2 linked regions of the Drosophila melanogaster genome follow. The gene in region 1 interacts genetically with each later gene. Each region holds a gene or a part of one and is shown on either strand. Other genes may lie near its edges. The genes, in order: Nab2 and hrg.

Evidence for each region.
Region 2: of Nab2 (region 1) and hrg, changing one enhances a phenotype caused by changing the other (phenotypic enhancement), as found in Drosophila melanogaster (one study listed by BioGRID).

The regions. Positions count from the first base shown.
Region 1 is NT_033777.3:24,312,845-24,320,655, reverse strand, and holds Nab2 (nuclear polyadenosine RNA-binding 2), read left to right. Parts: upstream 1-2,236; 5' UTR 2,237-2,399; coding exon 2,400-2,441; intron 2,442-2,534; coding exon 2,535-2,760; intron 2,761-2,814; coding exon 2,815-5,064; intron 5,065-5,126; coding exon 5,127-5,396; intron 5,397-5,457; coding exon 5,458-5,684; 3' UTR 5,685-5,996; downstream 5,997-7,811. Other genes in the region: BRWD3, read right to left, coding at 580-639, 1,035-1,064, 1,189-1,247, 1,499-1,541; crb (crumbs), read right to left, coding at 6,777-7,007, 7,080-7,493, 7,555-7,679, 7,748-7,811.
Region 2 is NT_033778.4:19,662,500-19,672,298, forward strand, and holds hrg (hiiragi), read right to left. Parts: upstream 7,334-9,799; 5' UTR 6,748-7,333; exon of another isoform or gene 6,619-6,747; intron 6,570-6,618; exon of another isoform or gene 6,291-6,569; intron 5,980-6,290; 5' UTR 5,855-5,979; intron 5,788-5,854; 5' UTR 5,750-5,787; coding exon 5,029-5,749; intron 4,966-5,028; coding exon 4,769-4,965; intron 4,711-4,768; coding exon 4,129-4,710; intron 4,069-4,128; coding exon 3,796-4,068; intron 3,732-3,795; coding exon 3,525-3,731; coding exon of another isoform or gene 3,026-3,524; exon of another isoform or gene 2,761-3,025; intron 2,168-2,760; coding exon of another isoform or gene 2,163-2,167; 3' UTR 2,048-2,162; intron 1,986-2,047; 3' UTR 1,420-1,985; downstream 1-1,419. Other genes in the region: CG11018 (uncharacterized protein), read left to right, coding at 44-97, 151-1,050; Kpc2 (Kip1 ubiquitination-promoting complex subunit 2), read left to right, coding at 8,256-8,650, 8,785-8,796, 8,862-9,351, 9,407-9,742, 9,795-9,799.

The sequences.
Region 1 (7,811 bases):
AATCAAAATTTAACGTATTCCTATCGATTGGGCGATAAACGGTGCGATAGCTTCAACAACGTATGCTTGTCTCGTTCCCTCGCGCACAAGTCAAGGCAAAGTGGTGGTTGCTTGCATGTGTCTGTGCGCATGGGCATGTGTATGTGTGAGAAACCAAAATGTCGGCTGGTTGCAGCTAATTGTTAAAACTAAATTACAAAGCATTTGTTTAAAAAATTAAGATTTTTCAAAATTTACAATTTTTACGAGGGTTTTAGAATTTTTGCTTTCCACTTTAGTCTTTTACGAATTTTTGCAATTTTTTGCTGCCTTTTTAATTAAATAGTTGCTTACTTATTTGTTAATTTAACAGTCAGAATGATTGATGTCTTTAGTTGTAATGTTTTTTAAATTAACAACTTGAATTTTGATGTGCAACTTTTTCTCTATTCCCTGACACGATGACGTCACAAAGGCGAGCGAACGACTGAGACGGAAAATGCCGCAGCAGACGCACACTTACGCAAGACTTAAATGCCGATCAAAAGGCATTAAACGATAACTTTGAAAAGCTAATTGATTAATTATGAAAACACTCACCAATTCCTCAAAGGTCTGCTCATGCTCGTTTCCCTGCCAATCGAGACGACGCGGCAAAACCTGGGAATCGAAAGGTGTACGTATATATAGACGGGTGTAAATATATATGCATGCATGTATGACTCTTATCACTTGCACTCCGTGACGTCGACGATGACGTCGCGGGGGCATCCCTATGATTCCATTTCTTTTTTCATGTTTTTCTCTTCTTTTTTTAATGGACTATATATTCACGTGGCCCCAGCAAATCCACAATTCAGTCTGATTCCCAACTCTGAGACAAGCGGACGTACAAGTGGGTTTTTCGTCGTTCGCTGCCGGCAGCAGAAACAACAACAAAACCAAAACAAAGCGTATAAACAAACGCGGTTTTCTATTTTTTTTTTGGCCCCCCTCTCAATTCGAGTCCGAAATATCTGTGCCAAAAACACAGCTGCAGCACCAACAAAACTCACCTTCTTCTCTTCGAGTTCCCGGATCAAGACCTACAGTTGGATAGAATTTAGTTTCAGAATTAATGTAAATGTTTGTAAACAAAACGAAATTCCGCTCTTTTAGCGCGAAATACGATTCCAATGCGATCTCGCGCGAGCGCTGCTTTCAACCCACCTTCGCCGTCTCCTCCAGCGGTCCCGCGGCCAGGAACTTGGAAATGAGGAAGTACAGCTCTGCAAGATAGAGGATTTCACGGGTTTTAGTGCAACAAGTTGTCGAAAATGCGCTCGCTGGGAGTCGTCAATATTCCAGATATATCTGGCCAAAGGGGCCCGTGAATTTCGCTTGGCGAAACGCAGTCGAAAAAACGCAGCCATTCGATTCGAAGGGCGAGCGAAACACAGACACACATTTCACAAAGTCAAAGGGGCTGCCTTTGGTAGCCCCGTTGGACGCACTCGCTGCGCCACCGGGCGGTACGCACCTGGCTTTAGATCATCACCGGAACTGGGTTGTCTAGTTTCCATTATTCATTGCGAATTGCAGCTCCGATTATGACAAAATTGCAGTTGCTTTCTTCTAAAATTCTTTTCGCAGCTTCTTCTTCCCGTGTGACACTCGATTGCCATTCCCACCGAATGAAATGCCTTTGCGTATCGATAGTTGGTGGCGGGGCTCACAAGATGGGTATCGAGTCTTAGCCGAAGGAGCCAATTTTCGTATTTGAATTTGAGATGATGCACTGAAATGCTTCGCAGGATTCTACAATCTAAGATATTTACTTCAAATTGAGAATTTTAATTCTCAGTCAAACATATTCGTAGCCATTGGTTTGGAATTTAAGCTTATTATGAAATTTATATTTAGCTATGTGATTAAATAAACTGTTTGCAATTATTCGCTTTTAATTTTCGAATGTAATTTAATAGCTACTACACAAATTCTTGATAACTAGACTTATGATTTAATGAATAACAAGTGAAATCTTTTTATATTTTTAAATTGTCCCATTGGTGTTGATTATTTTGAAGTTATGTTGCACTTCAGTTCATGGCCATGGCCAGGAGCATTTTTAAATTTCAGAAGTTTTTAATTTGCCATTTTAATTTCAAATGAAATTTCTGTAACTATTTATTATTTTAAAGCTATGTTTATAGAAAATCGATATATACATTATAAAACGTGTGAATTAAACGTGAATACCCTTAATGTCAAACGCACACCACTAGTTATGAATATCGGAGCAGCTGCGATATTTTTTTTTTTTGGGAGGTTTTGCCATTTTCTAATGTAACAAAAAGTGGAGTGTAGCCACAAAGTAAGCGTAAATAATAAATGCTCGCGGCGAATAAACAGCGAAAAAGGCGATAGATAAACCAGCAAACATGGAGTGCAATCTGGGCAGCGAGATTGGTCAGAAGATGCGCGTAAGTCATTGGAAAAAAATCAATGAACTCGTTATGGATACCGCTCGGATTGGATACTCCAATACTATATATATTTTTGCACTTCATTAATAGAGCGCCGTAAAGGCAAAGCTGCTGGAGCTGGGAACCGGAGGATCGGCCGGTTTTATAGACGATGAATTGCCGGACTACGTCATGGTCATGGTGGCCAACAAGCGCACCAAACAGCAGATGAACGCCGAGCTGAATCTATTCCTAGGCGATCAAACTGACCTCTTTGTCACCTGGCTGCACGAAGTGCTGCAAAAGCTCCAAGAGGTCACACTCCCCACATCCAGTGGTATGATGGATATGCTCATCATACTTAAGCACCCACTAACTCCAATTTTTTCAGCTTCCAGCAAGAAGCGCAAGTCTCGCGGTCAGGAGAAGGACAAAAAAGGATCCAAGAAGGATAAGCGACCGCACCGAAAGTCCGGAGATGAGCTGTCGGAACCACAGCCAAGTTCCTCAGATGCCATGCCAATTGTCAGTTCCATCACGGATGTTTTTGCCGAAGAGCTTCTCGAGAAGGCAAAGAAAACCATGGACATTGATCTCAGTGCCAAAGACGAGATCCTGCACAAAAAGAAAAATCGCAAGTCCATCGAGGATGAGGATGCATCGGCCAATAGGGCGCTGGATGTGCCCGCTGTGTCTGAGATCATCTCAACTACTATCGGTGTTAACCGGCAAAAAGACCTCGCTGAGCTGGCCGAAATCCAAAAGAAAATTCATGCAGCCAAGAAGCATTTACGCCAGATTGGCGAGATCGGGGATGAAAGCGATGAATATGATGAGGATCTGTTGAACTTGAGCGCGAGGGAGGAGTCTGTAGACCAGGAGCCAGAAGAGGATCCCCCGAAATTGGAGGCTCCACCACGAAAAGCTAAGAGCCCCATTATTTTTAACAGACGCGAGAAGACACCCGAAAAGCGTCCAGAGGCTGAACCGGAGATCGATTCCCGCCAGGAGGAGGCGGAGGAGAAGAGCCCCAAAAAAGATTCTTCGGCTGACAAGGCCAAGGAAGACCGGTCTGAAAGGCGATCGGTGCATGACCGTCTCGGTTCAAAGGCCCAAACGCCGGCAGATCGTTCGCAGCGCAACCAAAAGGAGCTCTATGTGCCGACCCATCGGCGACGGAGCGAACCCGAGGCCACCAAAGAGCGCAGTCAAAGAGAGCGCACCCGAGAACGACGCTCCAGCCGCGATACCTCTAGGGACACTAACCGTAATCAGCGCCAGCGTCGTTCGCCTAGTCCGGAGGCTCCAAGTACAAAGCAACGCATTGTCTCCCAAGTTATTGTGGCCGTTAACAAGCCACCGGAGCCGTCGGACGATGAGGATATGGCCGAAAAGCCAGTCAACTCCGTTATTAAGGTCAAGCCAAGACCAAATGTTTCTCCCAGACGACAGGCCTGCAAGAACCTCCTGCTGCGAGCAGTGGCGGACGCGCAGCGTTCCACAATCCTCGCCAAGACTTCGACACAGAAGGAGGACGAGGATGTGGGCAAGATCATAAGTTCTCTAGGCAAGCGCAAGTCGGAGGATAAGAATGATCAGATTCGTAAACGGAATCGCGAGAGGAAACGAAGAAAGAGAAGTGCACAAGGCAACGAACTCTTCCGGCGCACCACTCGGGAATTAGTGGTAAATGTGACACAAAGGGATGGAAAGCGTGAACGGCGGTCCAACGAGCGTCGCGCCGAGATCAAAGTGGTGGAGGAAGAATATACGCCAAGCCTAATGACTGAGGGCGTCGAGACGTATGTGCCGCAATTGCTGACCAACGTGGATGAATTGGATTTGCACATCAGCTCCCACGACGAGCCAAGTCCCAATTCCGGAGCCCTCAAGACTCAGTTTGTGGTCACGTTAAACGGCGACAAAGCTCTCGGAGGTAAGAATGTCAAGGGAGGGGCCTCTCGCAAGCGGCCGAGCAACTCTCGTAAACGATCCACCTCACCCGTATCCACGCCACAAGTGTCCTCCTCTAATATTGAGCCCACATCTACGACGGTTGACAAGCGACGCCGATCCAATCGGGATAGAAGCTTCTCGCCATCGCCGAGACAGAGCAGTGGGTCACCCTCCCTGCCGACAACACGCAGCATCAATCGCAACGAGGTACGCCGTCAGCCTCAGGAAATCAAGAAGATCATCATAAAAAATGACACCGATGAAGATGATGAAATGCACGGGTCACCGAAGAAACGATCACCAAACAAGCGCCAGCCAGCGGCGGCCAATGGTCACAAGGACAATAAGGATAAGGGTAAAATCGAGGAAGGCTCAACAACTCCACCGCTGCCAGCCAAACCAAAGGCGCGGGCGGAGAAGAAAGCTTCCAGCAAGGAGAAATCCGTAAGATCTAATTCAGCGGAGACGTCATCGGCCGCCAAATCTGTCAGTGCGTCCACTTCCGTTTCGACAACTACCAAAGCCAAGCACACGCCCATTCGCTTCACTCTTAAAAGTGAGGACGAGCCGAGTGCGAGTAAGAAGCGTCGTTCTGGCAGCCCCGATCGTGATGTCGCGGCTCCGGAGAGACGCAGGGTATCCATACGCAATCCGGAGGACAGGAAATACGACAACTTGCCGGCGTGTAAGTGTATTCTTTCAATTTTAACAAATTTGAACAATTACTTAATATCTTGCCCCAATTAGTGAGCGCAGTTAGCGTGGATTCCACCGTGCTGAAGGTGAACAAACCCAAGGAGCGCTGCAAATATCATCCAAACTGCACAAAGCAGTTCTGTGAGTACTATCATCCAACGGCGCCGTGCAAGTCTTTCCCCAACTGCAAATTCGCGGACAAGTGCATGTACTCGCATCCGAAGTGCAAATTCGACATGGCCTGCATGAGCATAGACTGCAACTACGCCCATGGCGGTCAAAGGGATCTAAGCCATGTCCAGCTTGCTGCTCCACCACTATGTAAGTTGATAGCCTTTGTATTTAATTTTACAAACTCACAAACTTTTTTTTTAATTTACAGCCTCTCACGTCATCCCAGTGCAGAACTACAAGTCGATATCGGCTCCTGTTACATCCACGACTGCGACTACCATGTGCAAGTACTATCCGAATTGTTCCAAGCTGGGCTGCACCTTCTATCATCCCAAGCCCTGCCGCTTCGGCAAGAACTGCGTAAACAAGCTGGAGTGCATCTTCTACCATCCTGAGATGCAGAGCAAATTCAAGTGGGTGGCATCTTTGGGCTAATGTGGACTGCACTTTCGTTCAAATGATATTTAGCAAATGTACTCTATTTCGAGTGTATGATTAGGCGAGCTTGGAGTTTTTTCTATCTATATACACCGAGTTGTATACCTTACCTATTTAATCTTCATTATTATTTGCATTCATCCTACTGCTTATAATTATAAACATGTGTATTAGTCATTAGAAGCTCGCTCACATACATGATAAACATAACTTAACTTTGTTGGTCCTGCGAATTTGGTTGCATTCAAACCATAAGATACACGTCATGGTAAAGCTGACGAATAAATTTAGCAATAGTTGCTACAAATGAAAAAAAGAAAACGATTTTTATATATAGTTTGCCGTGTGTCTTTAACTGGATAATTGAATAGGCAATTGATTGGAAAAAGTCGAAATATTTTATATTTATTATATAGTACAGTCTCTTAAGTTTACGCTTAGATACTCTAGAGCAAAATATGTTTTTTATTTGATTTACTTAACCAATACTTTTTCTGTTCTAGTTGTCATTGCTTTTCGTTACTATATTTTTTTTTGTTATAAGGCCACATTTACTGATATATATACTCGCGTATATATAGGCATATAGGATTTTCTGTTTTTAATTTCGATTTTAGCTCAGCTAATTTAGTTTAAGAGTCGGCAAACAATCTTATTTACAAAAATACTCATACAATACATTTGATGGGCTTCCTTGTGGAATGCAAAGGGGAAATCGACGTCGGAGCTCAACTTTGTTCGCAGCTTTAGGATTACATATACGAGAAATCGAATACTGAATCTAAACTATCGGAACATAACTACATAACGACTATAGGGCGGTACGTATGTCATCTAAACTACTAGAATAAATAGACAACGGCATTATTAACTAACTAAAGCGTAGGCAGGGGATAAGGGACGAGTCGAGGTGGAAGCCTGGCTGCTGCTGCTGCTGCTATTGCTTTGAGCACCTTAAGATGTAAACCATAACTAGGGGCCAACTTAGTACAAAACATTGAGTTACTCCTACAGCTAGGTGTATATGGGCGGATTTAAAAATATCTTTTGTTTGCTTTGCTAATCGTCGTTCATGCTCAAAACTCAAAACTAAATTAGTCGCTCTTCCGGCGGTGGCTTCAGTACGTTGTCCATTTCCAGCCGTGGGTTGCAGTACTCTTGCGCGCTCGGGCTATAGGTGCCCCTGGTTGCTCGCTTGTTCCTGGCCATCACCAGGAAGGTGCCCAGGAGGGCTCCCGCGATCAGCAGCAGCACCACCACTACGGGTATTACAATGATGGCAATGTCTGTGGTCGAAGGCCCGTCCTCCTTGGCCGTAATCTGAAAAAAGCGAAGAAATCAATATATTGTTTTTCTTTCACTGAATTTGTAGTGTATCATTTGAAAACTTACCGGTGCTGTGCAATTCTTTCCCGCGAAACCTTCCGGACACTCGCAGTAGTAGTCCGGTTTGGCGCCGCAGGACTCTACGCAGCGACCGCCGTTTGAGCAGAGGTCCGTAGCGTTGCAGGGATCCGTAAAGTTGCAGTAGGCTCCGCAATAGGGTTTCTGGCAGATGCACTGGAAGGATCCGGGCTTGTTGAAACACCGGCCCAATCCGCCGCAGTAATCTCCCTCCATGTTGCACTCGTCGATGTCATTTTCACAGCGAATGCCCTCGAACCCGGTGCCCTGGCAATCGCACTCGTACCTGCCGACGAGGTCCTTACACTGACCACCGTTCTGGCATGGATTCGATTCGCACTCGTTAATGTCCTGCTCGCACAGGCGACCAGTGTATCCCAGACTACATTTGCACATCGGTACCTAAAGAGAATGTTTCGATGAATAATTGATCAGTTGAGTATTCCATTTGTAGGCCACTTACCGCTCCAGTGGTCAGGCAGAGGCCACCGTTATCGCAAGGCGTTATTTCACAGAAGGGTATGTCACACAGTGGACCCTCGAAGCCGGGCACGCATGTACATGTAAAGTTATTGCCAGTAGAAGCATCTGCAAGGCGAGAAGAATAATAATCGTTGAAAGAAATAATTGTATCATAATGATGGGGCTTCACTTACTGAATCCATTCTGGCAGGTTGATCCATTCCGACATGGCTCGTTCTCGCAGGTCATTTGCTTCAG
Region 2 (9,799 bases), on another chromosome or scaffold:
TTAAAGACAAGGGATATACCCCTAAAATATCACATAGAACACTATGCATTGGTATGCAATCCTCCAAGGATTCCTCCTGGGAATATCATCGATAATCGTGAGTGCGTCGAGCCACCAACTGCAGCACCTATGTATATTATAATCCATTAGATTTTATGGGTACAAGGAGTCGTTGGCTTGCCATTGGCTACAACCGATCTGGAGTCACTTCCAATCGTCTTGGCAGAGGATGTTCCGGTGGAGAGAGCTCCAAGGCAAGTAAAACCAGATCCGTCGACGTTCGATATTTTCAAGGTGGATCAAAGCTCCAATAACCAAATGCAGCAGAAATCCGACGGCTTCAGAGTGTTCGCAAAGAAACTACAGGATGATTATCACCGTAGAGCTGGCTACAATGAAACTAATCCGCCACCAATTACTGTGACCCGAGGAAGCACTACTGCTCCTAAGAAAATCCATAAAAGTGGCATTCGACTATTTGCTTCTCCACAAGATCCACCTCCGCCTGAAGCTGCGGCGCCAGCTGATGGAGCTCCAGCGGCGGCAGGAGCGGCTGAAGGAGGTGCCGCCGGAGGAAAAGGAACTGAACCACCCAAAGAGCTGACCGTCAGTATTCAACAATTCGTTACAAACCAATATGGGGAGAAGGAATACAATGCTTGGGGCGTCACTTTTGGTAGACATTTCTTCGACACCCGTTTCGCCGTAGCTAGGCATGAAATACCTCGAATAACTGTGGATCCGAAACCGGTCCGTAATTACTATCCAAAAATGGACAATCTGACCACCGTCTGCTTGAACAGATCGACCATCTACAATGAGATTAAAGTCGAAAAGTGGCTGATGCGCCACGTCTACAGCATAAAGAAGAAAGTGCGCCCCTTCTTTTTCTCCCTTCGCCAGCAGCTCTACGAGAAAGGGGATTCGGAGCAGTGCCACAATGAGTCCTACACTGACTGGTTGGAGTACCAGGAGTGCGCCATTAGACGCAACCAGCGCATGGAGTACTTTATCCCCAAGTATCCGCTACACCAACTTGCCATTAACTAAAGGCAACCACATCTTGGACTCACTCAACCTGTTTAAATTTCAGTTAGACATTGATCATGATCAGTCTTCGTACGAGAAAATTGATGGGACAAGGAATGATTATCATATTTGTGATTCCTCTTCATTTAAATGTAAATTCAAAAATTTTCTTGATTTATGCTTGCAGAAATAAATATATTTTATTTTCTTAATTTAAGCTTCTTCGGAACAAACTACTCATCCTTTATTCGTCATTAGCAAAATAGTACATTTTTCTATAGCAATTTAATTATATCCAATAGTTCCCAACATTTTCAGTGCAAATATTTTGTATTCCAAATATATTATCCATCACACATCTCCAATAAATAATTAAAACATTGATACATTGGTGTTTTAGCTTGCGCTTTCATTTTTCTGGTTTATTTGGTAAAATTAAATCAATATCTTCATTTCATTTATATGTTTTTGTTATTACCTTTTTTCAGATATCATTTCTTAGAAAAACGAACATAATTGTTTCAAATTTTCAGCGTTGTACAACTAGAAGAAGAAGAAAACAAATATTGAAAACAAGATGAAAAATTAAAAAGAATCTTCTTAGTTTGTAAATAGTTTTCAAAGCGAATCTTCTCCAGGATCTTGTCAGTCCGCTGCTGTCAATCATCCATTCATCCATCCATCTTTATCCACATCCTCCTCTCCACACTTCTCTCTTCTACGCACTCCTCAAACCAGCTGTGGGGAAGTAAAAAAGATGTACAACAATATTATTAAGACAAATGTTAGAGAAATGCTTTCTCTGCCGCTAAAAATCGCCTCAAGTCATGATGTTTTCTTGTCTTAACGGCGATTGTTGATCTCCGAATGCCAATTTCGATTTGACGATAGGGCGATGTTAATTGGTTGAACGAATAATGTTTAACACATGTTTGTAGAAGGTGTATGATAGAAACCTGAAATGAATGGAAAACCGAATTATAAACTTCAGTGGCCATTAATTCAAAATTAGTCTCACCGTTTTGTATAAAATATTGTGGGCTTCATGTATGTTCAGGCATCAATGCCGAGGAAATCAATAGGGAGATAATAACTATGATAACTAATCCTTAAATGGTATGTTTAATAACTTTTTACACTGCAAAGACAATAAAAAGGATAAAAACGGTTATTGGAATATATGTATGTTTTATATATATGTTTTAATTACAATACTTCAACAAGAATATGCAAACAAAACATTCGTAATTTTCGGTGTGGTAAAAAGTTTGAGTTTATTGTACAACCAAAGTGGAAACAATTAAAATCAAATTAACAGCAAAAAATCTTTTTAACAATACCTTCATCTTTTACTTAATTTCCAGATGAGACGTGTGTTATTATCGTAGTAAAATCCCACAGAACCGAAATATCTGTGCTACTATATAAAACAGTTTCCTTAGCTTGTCCCTTATAAAACCCAATACAAACATTAACAAATGCTTTTTAAGGGCCATGAATTCATTAAAACTGACGAAAGCTAGACAGCCAAACAAAAAATAAAACCCGAAATATAAACAAAATAAAATGTAAATGTTTTACACTTATTTCTTTTTAGAAATTGTTTCTTGAATATTGAACAAAGCAAGGTTTGTTTCTCGCATTTTGTTTTGCAGATTCCTATAGCCTAAAATGTTTGACCAAACGAATTTCACTGTAAACAATTTGGAAAATAAAAATACGAAAAATGTTCAGTGTTTTTTCTTTTTTAAAAAGTTTATTTTCATCATCGTTTATTGAGCTTAGTCTCGGGCTAGGTAAATTGAATTTTTAAAACTTAAAAAATTAGAGGTATGTTTTTGTTAGATTGTTTCCACATTGGCGGAATACTGGTTATAGAATACGTAAAAGTAAGTAGATAGGCAACTTAAGAGTACAGAAACAGTCTCGTGTCAAAGGAAGTTGGGGAAAATGAAAAGAGAGTACGATAACGAGGAAAAACATTTAGGCAACTTACAAGAAATTGTCGGTGCCGGTGGTGCGGCACTCGCAGCTACCGGAACCGATGTTGCTGGTGACGCCGATGTAGCTGTTATTCTGACCGCTTTTTGTTGCTGTTGTGTTTGGTTGTTAGGTGTCAAAAGTGGTTGATTGTTGTCCTCGTCATCATCATCAATGTAGTACGTTTTGTTGTAGTGGCTGCCGCCGCCACCGCCGTTGTTGTTGTGAGTGCTATGCTGGGTGTAGTTGCTGTGAGCAATGTTGCTGCTGCTGATCATGGTTGTTGATGTTGCCGTTTGCTGCTTGCGCTTATGTCCGGTAATGCTTAGAGCAGCCGATAGACTGGAAGCGGCATGCAGAATCGAGCGTTGGTTGAAAATGCTGTTGGAGGCGGCTGCCGCAGCCGCGTTGTTGTTCTTTCGGAACTTCTGATGATGATGATGGTGAGCTGGTGGCTGTGGCGGCGCTGGCGGTGGCTGCTGATGTGGCGGATGCGGATGTAGCGTTGGCGGTTGTCACGAACATGCCACCTCCGTTGTGGTTGTGTTGCTGCTGGCATTGCCATTGTTGTGAGGCTGTGTCGGTTCCTGCTCTACAACGTCTATCTCGGAGCCGTTCTTGCCAGAGCTCTTAAAGCTTGGCGCACTTAATTGCGCCGTTGTGGGCGTGGTGGGCGTCCCTGCCCCCATATCGCTGGAGGCATTCGAGTTCTCCTCTGTCAGCTAGACATACAAAGTTTCGACTAATTAATACGTTCTAAATTGATATCTTTTTTATACCACTAACCGAATCGCTGAGTCTTTGTATCTTGGCTCCGCTATCCCGACCGCGATTTCCACTTGATGGCTGCTGGCCTGGGGGCAGTGGATCCTGCGATTGGGCCAGTTCCGTAGAAAGTCGTTTGCGGTTAGCCAATAGCGTGTTATTAAAATTATTGTGACTTTCCATTGACTTGCGCTCACGTTTTAGGAAGTCAGAGTCTAAATAAAGCGACAGCTGCTTGCGCTTTACATGGCGGGCATCAATGGTCATGCCTTCCTTAAGCATTTTGATGTTAACCTGCAAGATTAAAAAAGTAATAAGCAACTGAATAAACATTATTTTCGATTTTTTACTTACGCCGTGCATCATCACATGCTCTGTAAAGTTTTGTATGCTCTCGGTGAGGTCCACGTTAAGGTTCTCCGATCGCTCGAATTCCAAGCCTATAAACCACATGGAGCAGAAGGGTGCCGATGTCACAGCAGACTGGTTTCCCTGCGACTGCTTCAGATCGTCTTCATTTCCACTGTTGTTTTGTGAGTTGTTGGCACTTTGGCCCTTCTTAAACTCAAAACACTTGGGATTGACATGGGCCAGTGCAATATGGGGATTTCGCTCCAAGTTGCCAATTAGCAGACGCACCTTTGACTCAACAAGGCCGCACCACTCTAAATGATCGTCAGCCGTCTGCGAGTTGACTAACAACACGATAAAGTGGCGGTATCTGTAAAAAAAGCTAGGTGCCTCAAACAAACGCTCCCACGGAATGCGACCGAGCATGATTTCATCCGTGATGTTCATGCCGCGATTGAACTCGGTCAATATGACCTTCTTGGTGGATTCGGACACATTAAATGTGGAATTCTGTTGTGGGTATGCGGGCGTAATAATGGGCATCAGATGATACCGATCCGAGGCATTGACACGCGGATCCCAGACCTAGAATAGGAAAATCTATTAGAGAACCGGACTATTTGGATAAGTTTTTATGACTTACTTGAAATCTTAGATTAACGTTGTCCGGGTGCTTGAGTAGCACTGGGTTAGGCCACTTCCAGCGCGAAAAGACCAAGAAAAACTTGTGCACCAGTGTGGCAGCCGCAGCGTTGGGATACAGCTGACAGGTTCTGGCCACTAACATGGCCCAGGTCACACCACCGAAATAACCCAATGAATTTGAGTAGATTCCGTGCTCTAAGAGAGAAAATGAGAACAATTAGAATTTAATTTATAAGAATTTTATATAATAACACGTACTCTTTGCCCACAATTTGATAGTGCGCAGTGCCAGGCGGAAATTTTCAATATTGGGCACCAGGGCCAGGATCTCGTCCGTCACACGACAGCCGTTGAGGCTGCGCACCGAACGGTGATCCAGATTCCGCAGTAAGTTATCATCCCGTAGATCAAAGTCATCAGGAATTTCTTTTAGGGACAGACGGGCAAACAGCAAATCAATTTCGATGCCATCAAAGTTCATTTTGATGACGGGCACAAAGGCCTCTTCCACCGAGCGGCACTCGGTTACCTCTGGCTGCTTCTTGAGCACCTCAAAGAAGCTCTGAAAGTAGTCGGTGCGCTCAATATTTCGCGGAGCAACACATAAGGCATCTATATCGGCACCCTTGTGATGGACACCCAATCGATACGAGCCGAATGTGTAGATCTTGCCGCCAAGCTTCTCGGCGGCTGACTCTGGCATGTTCTTGCTGACAGAGATTTCCTTGACCCACTGCTTGACCAGTGTGTTGAGCTTGGCCAGGATCTCCATACGGTGATTTAGCTCGTCCTGGCTCTCAAAGACGTTGTACGGCTCCAGTGAGCCGCGGAGCTCATCAGTGCGCTGGAGATCCTCAGGCCGTGGCTCGGCCAGACTGATAGCCGAGGTCATGCCCAATTGCTTGGCGGGCGGTCCGCCCGAGGTAGAATTTCCATTGTGCTGATGGTGCTGGCGATGTGTTGGTTCGGAATTCCACATGTTGTCTGTCTGCCTTCGTTTCAGCTTAAAGTTATGTCCTGAAAATTGAAATTTTAAACGGTTATTATCTGATCCTTTCGGAATCGCTATATTCGATTTACTCACCTATCTAGGCTTAAAATGTATGTGGTATTATATTTAAGTTTGCTCTCCAAGAAGACAAAATGGAATCATATATATGCGACACCTCCTCTTGTGGCTCTGTTTAAGAAACTGCGCTTAATAAAATGCTGGAAAAGAAAATAATACATTTAGTATGACATCTAAAGCATTACTCTAAGGTTTGGTTTTAAAATTCTTAAGGAAGAGCGGATCGTATTGAAATTGAATAGGTTTGTTCGGACTATGATAATCTCATAAGGATTGCGAAATATTAGGGTTTCTTAAAGTGAGAATTATTGTACGGCGTTTCCAAACTGATGACGACGCGGTTTTTTAAAAAGTGAATCACCTAATATTTGAACTAAATATTTGTGGGATACACATTCATCACGTGATAAGGGCTACATATATACAACAGTTACTACTAAATTGAAATTACCCTTTTCTTCCTGTGTAGCAAAACAGTTAATTGACAATTACAATTTACTTTCGCGCTGAGTAAATGCAAATTGTAATGTGCGATAAGATATTTCTGATAGCGCCGTTATATACAAAAAACATAACAATGAATTTCGCAAAGCAGCTGGGCACACTGGTTCACTGGATAGCCTTTCGGGCATATAAACAAATGCGTAAAAGAAATTGGCAAATAAATTAGCGGTTGGAGTGGGTTGCCGTAGCTGTTGCTTGTAGCAGAATAATTGTGACAATGACAAACATAAACAAAGAAAGCGAATATTTATGCGCCTGCACCACCCCCCTCTCACCAACGACAATCCTCCCACACAGGTAAACGGTGCTCTCACGCACGCACTCACGCACACCCACACAAACAGGCACGCGCCGTATACATACACACACGAGGGGAAAAGTTTTCTCTGCTTGTTTTTGCTTACCTGCGCTTATTCTTCAGATTCTTGGCCTGTTTTTGTTGTTCCCGTGCCGCCGCTTCAAACAATATCTGAAGGTGTGTGTGTGTGTGGCGTGTCGTGCTGTTTGTCCGCTGCATTCGTGAGTGGTGCATATGTATGTATGTATGTTTGTTTGTTAGAACTTTTGGCAGGAGAGTGTATCCCATTCATGTGCTGTTGTCGCTCCGGCTTTTACTCTTTTCGCACGTTCGTCTTCCTCGCTTTTTTGCCGCACTCTTCACATTTCTTTTTTCGTTTCTTTTTCCGTTCCCGTTCCACCACCTTCCACTGCTGCTTAACGGACAGAAACTCTCGCGTTTTATGCTACGTGACGCACACGCACACACCGATATACAAATGCCAGTAGTCGACTTGCCAAAACGCAAACACAAACGCTTTCCGCCCACTTTTGTTTCGTTTCGGAGGTGACGGGGGCACACTGATAACACGACGGGATCGACGCTGTGGCGTTTAGTGGGCGGCAAACATATTTTACTAACTTTTAAGCCCCTGCGCGTTCTAGCAATAATTAAAATGTGTGGCAATCGATTGGATGCTTGTGGCAATCGTTATCGTTTCTTGCGGCGCATAGAGATGAGCCAATGGGAGTAGCTAGGGATGGGAAGATTTCCATGCTCTCTGCTTACGTATGCCTATTGTGAATGGACATTTTTAGTGAGAATTTTTAAATGATTTTTAGCAAATTGGTTTTAAATATAATGTGTATGAGCACCATTTTATTTCATTATCAAGCAGATTCGTTTCGCAAGTAATAAAAGTGAGAGTCATCTGCAAGCGATACCGCCTTAAGTAAAATAAGCTGAGGGCATAGGATTTACTATTGGTTCTTTTACAGTTGGGACCTAATCTGGCCATCTGCTTATTTGAAATCTGCGACAGATGTCACTTTTTGCACCTTTGGTGTAGGTAAATTCAAAACCCAATTTTCTTACCTGAAATTTGAAAACCCATTTCAAACTGGGATTTCAAGTATGTTTGGGTTTTATATGACGGGTCTAACCAGGTACCAATTTACCATTAAGACACTTAGATTGTATTACTAATAGTTTTTGGAAAATGAATTCTTTAATTCTATTACTATATTCGGGTAACTACTATTTATTGCAGTAAAGTAACAAAAGTATTTAACCCCAATGTTTTCCTGTTATTGTTATTGGCTAACGATAAGGAATAACATAGTTTTCTTCATATATGTACATATCACGATATATTTATAAAGTTCAGCCACATAACATATTTTAAAATAGTTTTTCATGTCAAAATAGCCGTTATAAAGATTAGGGGTATTCCCCATGGATATGGCCTATCTGGCAGCACCATCAAACAGCTGCTTGCTATCGACTTTACAAAAATAAAAATCGTTTTTTTTTTTTTTGCAATAACGCATCGATTCTGTTTACTTGCGAGAAATATGCAAAATAGCCATCGAAAAGTGCCGCAAAATGTAACAAACACCTAGCTGCAGACCCAAGATGATACCCTGGATGCGGGAGAAGTTCAACGAGAAACGGGCCAAGTGGTTGGCGCGTAGCAAGCGCAGCGGTGGTTCTCCGGCTGACGAAAGCCCTCGGAGCAGCAGTCATAGCCACAGCCAGCGGACAGACGCCAGCGATGCGGAGAGCCTGAGCGGATCCTCGTTGAATGTCCACACGGCGGAATCTGAAACGCAGACGGATGGCGGGATATCCGCTTCCAATTCGCGGCCCCTTGTGGGCGGGGGCAGTTGCGTCCTAAGGACTCCATCGCCCGCTCGCCGACGTCGCATTCACCTTGAGCTACAGCTGCAGCGACGAGAGGAACGTGCTGAGCATCAGAAGGTGGTGCCACAGGACTCGCCCACGCCCACTCACCAACAGCAGGCTAATGCGTAAGTTATCAAACCGAACGAATATGCTTATGTTTTTCAAAGTGCTCACCCGAAACAAATATTTGTCTTTCGAAATTCTCCGTTGGTTTGTCACTACCCATCCAACTAAAACAAACTATGCAAAAACTGCGCAGTTTGTTTCTCAGGTTAGTAATGCTTAGGTATTATGCTAATCTTTTAATTAAGTCCATTCTTAACGGAATCCACTTAGGAAATCAGCCCATACAAATCGCCCAGGTAGCTCTACTTCTGGCGAGGCAGACGATGCCAGCAGGCCAGGTGAATCTATCCTGGTGCGGGTAATCTGCCCCAGCTCTCGGGTTCTTATCTTCAAAACGGACGTTAATAAGCGCCTAAACGAGCTGAAGAGTGAGGTGATTCTGGAACTGAGCGACGATCCCGACTCCATCCAGCTATTTGCCCCAGATGTGCGGCATCTTAATCCGCGATACCGTCTCTATCGGGCGGAATACTTCGGCGGCGAGCTTAACGAGGGCGACACGCTGGCCCAGCTAAAAGTTCGCAACAATGAGACTTTCATACTCTCCCCACGACGCAATACTCTGCCGCAGACTGTTTCACGGATACGTGAGGTTCCTGGCCCAAATGAGCAGCTGGTGGAGAGCGCCACCCGATACGTGCCCGTCAATTGCAACCAGCTGCCCACCATCGATATTAATGAAATCTTTCAGCAGTCGAATGTGAGTACAATTCTTGGCTACTCCTTTGATTATTCTAATCCTATTCCGTTTCCAGATCCAATACGATGTGCGAAAGGTGTTGATCTCTTTGGCTCAAGCTTCTGCGGCGGTTATAGGAGCTGGCCCTTATGCTCCACGCCTGATAGCTATGCTAAAGCAACGTTTGATCAATCGCCGAAATCAGCAAGCGGATACGCTGCAATGCCTCGTGGACATGGGCTTCAAGCGGGAGCTAGCCGCATTTGCCTTAAAAGCACACAATGGCATTTACTCGACCACGATGGAGTGGCTAATACAGAACCAAAACGAGGAAAATCCACAGGAACCGCCGGGCATGAATATGCAGCACAGTCTATCTTCCATCTCACCCTCCACGATTGTCACCAATAATGTAAGTAGGAATTAGATTATCGCTTTTTAATGACAACCGTTTTCTTTTAAAGGAAAC